2 linked regions of the Saccharomyces cerevisiae S288C genome follow. Each later gene encodes a partner of the first gene's protein in a complex. Each region holds a gene or a part of one and is shown in the gene's direction. Other genes may lie near its edges.

What was found. Proteins that work in one complex are often made in the same cells at the same time.
Region 2: the proteins of TFB2 (region 1) and TFB5 are in contact, whole or in part, in a crystal structure (PDB 3DGP), measured with the Saccharomyces cerevisiae proteins. Residues at the interface, in NP_015203.1 of Saccharomyces cerevisiae: Glu447 (codon at 2,853), Leu448 (codon at 2,856), Arg450 (codon at 2,862), Val451 (codon at 2,865), Ile452 (codon at 2,868), Thr453 (codon at 2,871), Tyr454 (codon at 2,874), Glu455 (codon at 2,877), Gly456 (codon at 2,880), Ser457 (codon at 2,883), Leu458 (codon at 2,886), Tyr459 (codon at 2,889), Ser460 (codon at 2,892), Asp461 (codon at 2,895), Phe462 (codon at 2,898), Glu467 (codon at 2,913), Leu482 (codon at 2,958), Trp483 (codon at 2,961), Asp485 (codon at 2,967), Lys488 (codon at 2,976), Lys490 (codon at 2,982), Phe492 (codon at 2,988); in NP_076886.3 of Saccharomyces cerevisiae: Ala2 (codon at 1,765), Arg3 (codon at 1,768), Ala4 (codon at 1,771), Arg5 (codon at 1,774), Lys6 (codon at 1,777), Gly7 (codon at 1,780), Ala8 (codon at 1,783), Leu9 (codon at 1,786), Val10 (codon at 1,789), Gln11 (codon at 1,792), Cys12 (codon at 1,795), Asp13 (codon at 1,798), Ile16 (codon at 1,807), Glu33 (codon at 1,858), Glu34 (codon at 1,861), Leu35 (codon at 1,864), Asp36 (codon at 1,867), His39 (codon at 1,876), Leu41 (codon at 1,882), Val47 (codon at 1,900), Lys51 (codon at 1,912), Leu54 (codon at 1,921), Asn55 (codon at 1,924), Leu58 (codon at 1,933).

Annotation. Positions count from the first base shown.
Region 1 is NC_001148.4:317,799-322,281, reverse strand, and holds TFB2 (TFIIH/NER complex subunit TFB2), read left to right. Parts: upstream 1-1,514; coding exon 1,515-3,056; downstream 3,057-4,483. Other genes in the region: VPS30 (beclin 1), read right to left, coding at 1-211; MEI5 (Mei5p), read left to right, coding at 652-1,320; RNY1 (ribonuclease T2), read left to right, coding at 3,337-4,483. UniProt on the Saccharomyces cerevisiae protein: Component of the general transcription and DNA repair factor IIH (TFIIH) core complex, which is involved in general and transcription-coupled nucleotide excision repair (NER) of damaged DNA and, when complexed to TFIIK, in RNA transcription by RNA polymerase II.
Region 2 is NC_001136.10:602,955-605,572, reverse strand, and holds TFB5 (TFIIH complex subunit TFB5), read left to right. Parts: upstream 1-1,761; coding exon 1,762-1,980; downstream 1,981-2,618. Other genes in the region: VPS41 (Vps41p), read right to left, coding at 1-1,565; PET100 (Pet100p), read right to left, coding at 2,174-2,509. UniProt on the Saccharomyces cerevisiae protein: Component of the general transcription and DNA repair factor IIH (TFIIH) core complex, which is involved in general and transcription-coupled nucleotide excision repair (NER) of damaged DNA and, when complexed to TFIIK, in RNA transcription by RNA polymerase II.

The DNA of each region.
Region 1 (4,483 bases):
TGTTCTGAATCTCCCCTAATCGCCTCAGCCTCTCCTTCGGTATTTGAGGCCCACAATTATCTGCGGCTTCGATGCCCTTGTTGCTGATGACATTTTCATTCGTTGCAGTGATAATTGAATTATTTGAAAGTAGCAAATTTCTTTGGGTTAAACTAAGACCTTCTAAAGATGGGTCTAGTTGCAGGGGTAAGTGACATGTTTGGCACTTCATTTTAATGCCCGTGTCTGGGAGTCTTTGCGAAAACAGTGACTGCCATAAAACGTAACTGAACTACCTAATGTGCTCCCATAGCACTACCCTTTTACTTCTATGAGAGCAAAATCCCCAGGCGGGTGACACTTAAGTACTACTAATGAAGGTAAAAGGACTATGTAATTCGATTATACCACCAGTCCATACTTCCCGATAGTTGATTTAAAATACACCTGGTTCGAACTATTTCTCTCTTAGTTGACACTTTATATACCAACTTTCTATATGAAAGTGATCATTTTACTATAGGATTAGCCGCGGAAAAAGTATTAGCCGCCCAAACTTCTATGTACCTTCCGCATAAATAGGAAAGAAAACAAGAAACTTGAACTTAAAATACTTCCACATCACAAGTATACTTTCCAGGAAAAGCACCAAATTACAGTTATCTAATAGTAATGCACAATCAGGAAGAGTGGCTAGACAAGGACAAAACTTTGGTGAACGAAGAAGAAAATACTTGCATCAACCATTCTTATACAAAAAAGGACACTAATAACTATCGGGTCGGTAAAAGCGGTATTAAGGACTTGAAGAAGCCTACGAACCAGAAGGAAATTGCGATAAAAAATAGGGAGTTAACGAAACAACTTACTCTTCTCAGGCAAGAAAATAATCACTTACAGCAGGCTTGTAAAATTCTCAGCGAAAACAAGATCATTGAGAACAGAAAATCCATAGAAAAATGGAGGACAATTTGTGAGATGGAACTGTCTTTTATTTTAAATTCCACTTTAATCAAAATCAATAGAATGGGCGGCTATAAAGATTTTCTAGAAAAAGAAATGGAGGCTAAAAAGAGAAGATTGGAATATCAGATTGACAACGGTATGGAAGATCAAATCTGTGAAATAAAGGAAAGTGATGACTTTAGACAACTTTCAGAAGTTGAGAAACAAGAGTGGGAGAGTCAAATGAATGAACAGCTGAAAGAGTTGGAAAAAAAAAAAATAGCGGAGCTGGAAAAATTGAATAAGGTGCTGCATGATAGCGAAGGGAAAGATTTTGGAATGGCTGAACTATGCACTAGGTTAAAACTTGACTACAGCTTAATCTTTCCACAATGAAAAATGCGTAAAACGTTTATTCATCTTGCATTTCTATTAGGTACGCGATTACTGAAAAAACGAATGTATTTTTTTGTTGTAGCGCAAATTACGCACCATCATATATTCACATATAACCTAACTTCATCGTCAGAATACAATACTAGTAACTTAGCATTAAAAGCCACCATCAAAGGGAAGAAGTGAACAATATAATGAGTGACTATTCCCTGAAGCATTCGGTCACTCAGTATTTGGAAGAAATTCCTCAACAAGTTCAAAATAGGCTTTATACCTCACCAGCTACATGTCTGGCTATCTATAGAATTTTACCACCACTAGCTAAATTTTTTATCATGGCAATGGTTTTCAACGAAAATGAAGTACCTTTGTTGGATTTAGATAAATGGGTTAACTCTAATGGTAAATTGCAGTTTCAGAATGCAATCAAATCGATGAAGTCTTTGCATCTTCTTATACCAAATAAATCATCTGGTACTTTGATGATCAACCTAAACCCAACATTCAAAATCAGCCTGAGGAACGCATTAACGGGTGGGGAAGTTCAAAACTCATTCGGTGTGGTTGTAGAGGAAAACGTAGTTAGCCTGGACTTGTTGGATGAATATTCAGCTAATAAATGGGAAACAATATTACATTTCATGGTTGGCACTCCCCTCGCTAAAATCCCATCTGAAAAAGTACTGAACCTTTTAAAACACAGTAAACTAATGGAAGAGGTAAACTCTACTGGAGAGTTCAAAATCACTAATGAAGGCTTCCAATTTCTTTTACAAGAAATCAACTCCCAATTATGGACATTATTATTGCAATATTTAAAAATGATCGAAACGTCCAAAATGGATTTAGTCGATGTTTTACATTTTATTTTCATGTTAGGCGCATTGGAAGTTGGCAAAGCCTATAAAATCGATGCATTAAGCGAAACACAAAGAATTATGTTACAAGATATGCGAGACTATGGTTTGGTATTCCAGAAGCATTCAAATGATAGCATTTTTTATCCAACAAAATTAGCTTTGATGCTGACTTCCGATACCAAGACAATCAGATCTGCCTCCAATGCGATGGATAGTGTACTGAGACAGAATAGAGAAGAGCCGTCAGTAAATGAAGACGGCGCCAACGGGAAATCCACAACAGATATCACTACATCAGATGATTTGAACAAAGCAGGTCTAAAAAATCAAGATATACCCGATGGCTCATTGATTGTAGAAACAAATTTCAAAATCTATTCATATTCTAATTCACCTCTGCAAATTGCTGTTTTGTCTCTTTTTGTTCATTTAAAGGCAAGATTTGTGAATATGGTATTGGGTCAAATAACAAGGGAATCCATAAGAAGAGCATTGACCAATGGTATCACTGCCGACCAAATCATTGCCTATCTGGAGACACATGCACATCCTCAAATGAGAAGGTTGGCAGAAGAGAAACTAGAAAAAAAATTAGAGCTGGACCCCAACTGTAAGGAGCCTTTACAAGTTTTGCCTCCTACCGTCGTAGATCAAATCAGATTATGGCAATTAGAGTTAGATAGAGTCATTACATATGAAGGTTCCTTATATTCTGATTTTGAGACTAGTCAAGAATACAACTTACTAAGTAAGTACGCTCAAGATATCGGTGTTTTGTTGTGGAAAGACGACAAAAAGAAGAAATTTTTCATCTCAAAGGAAGGTAATTCTCAAGTACTTGATTTCGCTAAAAGAAAGTTGAAAAAGAAACAATAAGTATATATACATATATATGCCCCTACATATCAATGCATTCAACGTAACAATTGCGCTAACACACGCGTCTTTCTTGCGCAGTAATTGTTTTCCTTTTTCATTCTTTCTTCTTTTGCATCTCTATCAACAAAATTTCGGTATCTAAGCTTTTCCTAAAATATCCCTTAAATGCAAACCTATCGAAAAGTAGGGGAACTACCGAATTTATAATTAACGCTTCAACTTTCGACCTATTGCAAGGCCAACTATTTAAGATATTTCAAACTAAAGTACTGTGTCAATGTTACTGAAAAACTTACACAGTCTCTTACAACTACCAATTTTTTCGAATGGAGCAGATAAGGGTATAGAACCAAACTGCCCTATAAACATTCCATTATCATGTTCCAATAAAACTGATATAGACAACTCGTGTTGTTTTGAATATCCAGGTGGAATATTTTTACAAACCCAATTCTGGAATTACTTTCCAAGCAAAAACGATTTAAATGAAACTGAATTAGTGAAGGAGTTAGGGCCTCTAGATTCATTTACAATTCACGGATTATGGCCAGATAATTGTCATGGTGGCTACCAACAATTCTGTAATAGGTCCTTACAAATTGACGATGTTTACTACTTATTGCATGACAAGAAATTTAATAATAATGATACATCCCTGCAAATATCGGGCGAAAAGCTGCTTGAATACCTAGACTTATATTGGAAGAGTAATAACGGGAATCATGAGTCCTTATGGATACACGAGTTTAATAAACATGGCACGTGCATTAGCACAATTAGACCAGAGTGCTATACTGAGTGGGGTGCTAATAGTGTTGACAGAAAAAGAGCGGTCTATGATTATTTTAGAATAACTTATAATCTATTCAAGAAATTGGACACATTTTCAACACTAGAAAAAAATAATATTGTCCCAAGTGTGGACAATTCCTATTCTTTGGAGCAGATAGAGGCAGCACTAAGTAAAGAGTTTGAAGGAAAAAAAGTCTTCATAGGCTGTGATAGACATAATTCCTTAAACGAAGTATGGTATTATAACCACTTGAAGGGTTCCCTTTTGAGCGAAATGTTTGTGCCCATGGACTCACTTGCCATTCGAACAAATTGTAAAAAAGATGGTATTAAGTTTTTTCCAAAAGGTTATGTCCCAACTTTCAGGAGGAGACCTAATAAGGGAGCAAGATACAGAGGAGTCGTTCGTCTATCAAATATTAATAATGGAGATCAGATGCAAGGCTTTCTAATCAAGAATGGACACTGGATGAGTCAAGGTACACCAGCGAATTACGAGTTGATTAAATCTCCCTATGGGAATTACTACTTGAGAACTAACCAAGGGTTTTGTGACATTATTTCGTCTTCATCTAATGAATTGGTCTGCAAATTCAGGAACATTAAGGATGCAGGTCAATTCGATTTTGATC
Region 2 (2,618 bases), on another chromosome or scaffold:
ATTTTCCAAGCTTTATAATATTGCTTTCTTTCCATAAACCAATCGAAATGATCCTTCAATGATAACTCTTGAACCCTGATGGCATCGTTGGAACTTATCAAATAGTATTCTGGTGTTGTTTTATCTATATGTTTACCGAGGTGATAATCATTTATAGACAATTTTTCATAGTTTTTCATGATAACTTCATCATTATAGATTTCATCACCATTAAAAAGATCAACAATTTTTAATTCTGGAGCATTCCCTTTGGCTAATAAGTTTTCTGGCCGCTTGCTAAAATTCTTCCCCTCCTTCATATCTTCATCTATGGTTGCTTCCTCTTCAATATCTATATCAAAACCTAGGCATAATAACTGATCATCCTTAAACGATGCAAGCCCTGTAATCAACATTGACACAGTAAAATGGCATTCTAATTCAACTTTCTTATCAGGTGTCCCTCTAAAACTCGATGCAGCACTAGACAAGAGAGATCCGATGTTTGTCGTAGGGTTAAAATGACTCATATTATTACTTTGAGAATTAGAGTCACCGGATTTGATCGAATTTGAATCCTTGGTAAAGGAAACTTTAAATAGCCAAATATTAGATCCCCATCCGATAACGACACGATCACTTTCTAAAAAATGAACATGGGGTCTAAATAGATCTGGCCTTACATCCTGTACGTTAAAAATTCTGGAGGGGAATGGAATATTCAAAAGCTGTGATCTTGTAGGAACATCGCAAAATGTTATTCCATCATCATCCATCCATAATATAAGGTCACCCATAGTATAAATTCCCATGATAGGGCCCTTCATATCAGAGGATAGGTCATCTTTTCTTGTTTTTTTCTTTTTCTTCTTGTTTAAAACGATGTCGATTCTATTTCCTAGCCAATTTCTCTGAGATAGTACAACGTCGCCAGCCATTCCACCAGAAACAAACATTCTGGATGCTTGAAAATTTGAGTGCAACGCTACAGAGTTTATAGGTCTTTTGAAATCGTATTGTGTAATGTTTTGTGGATCATCCATCGATCCGATAATCACTGTCCCGTCAATAGATCCCGTAGCAAAATATTTTCCGTCAGTGTTAATACAAAGTATCGAAGATCTATGGCATTTGATGGTTTTAATGGGTTCGAACGCGCATGTAGTTAAGTGTAGAATGCCTGAGTGTGTACCAAATGCAAAAAAAGTATCACCAAATAAACATGAAGAGATCGAGTCTCGTTGAAAAAAGTTCTTCGGGAGTTGACTAATTCGTGTGTACTTCAATAAGGGGGGCTCATCTTCGTCATCCTCATCTTCATCATCGTCATCATCATCATCATCATCATCATCACCTGTTTCTGCATCCGTCGCACTTCCTGTTATTGTACTCTCATCTGTTCGAGAAGCTACTCCATTTTCCGCTTGTGATATGCAACTAACACTTTTTGTTGGTGAAGTTACATTAACGTCTTCCCTCTTATTATCAACATTATTCTCGTCAGAGATGGAATTACTCTCATCAATTGTTCGTTCGCCTGATTGTTGATCCAAAACAGAATCATTCTGATGATTATCTGTAGTCATTAATGTCTAATAGTAGGTATATACTCTTCGTTAAAATGCTTTTTTATTTTGCATATATATTTTACAACAGTCTCAATAGCCCTTTTAATTTTTCTTTTGTATCGTATTATTGAAAAAAGACGAGCAAACTGCAGTAAGATAGAAGTGTACTCCCAATAGAGACAAAGCCAAGATACTTTTGTAAAAGAACGAAAAAATGGCTAGAGCAAGAAAGGGTGCACTGGTTCAATGTGATCCATCCATCAAGGCGCTCATATTACAAATTGACGCCAAGATGAGTGATATAGTACTAGAGGAGTTGGATGACACCCATCTTTTAGTAAATCCCTCGAAAGTCGAATTTGTTAAGCATGAGCTAAATAGGCTATTATCTAAGAATATATATAATCCTATGGATGAAGAAGAAAATCAGTAATTATTGCTCATTCAGCTTTTTCAATACTATTTGAATAGAGCATGACCTGCATAACCAGGTCAGACATGAATATAGAGGGGAAGTGATGATCTAGTGGAAATACGACTATACAGGTATGTACATGTTAGAATAATAAATATAAGGAAGAAAAAGTGGTCAGGTGCAAGTATACATCTTTAACCGTTTTCTTTTCTCATCCTTTTTTGAGAGCCAAATCCCGTTTAATTTTTTCTTTTTCCTCCTCAAGGTCTAAACCAAACTCCTCTTGTATCTTTTTCTCCAACCTAAGCCTTTTCTCTAAACGTTCTTTTTTCATCCTTGCCAGTTCAGCTTTAATCTCATAAGGCTCTTTTGGTATTTGGTTCAACGTTGCAGGATCTGGCCAAAACCCTGGAACATTTAATTTTTTATCAGTATCTGTACCAATATAGTACATTACAGCAACAGGTGCTAGCAAACAAAATGAAAATCTAAAGATCTCCAGTTGCGCCCTTGTATATTTAAACTTGAAGTTATTAAATAGACCCATTTTGTACTTGTCGAAGTGATTACTTTTGTTTGTCAGCCCTTATTAAATTGTTATAGAACAGAAAATATCAGCAAGATGCGCTGATATATTGGAATTATACGGGAAAAAA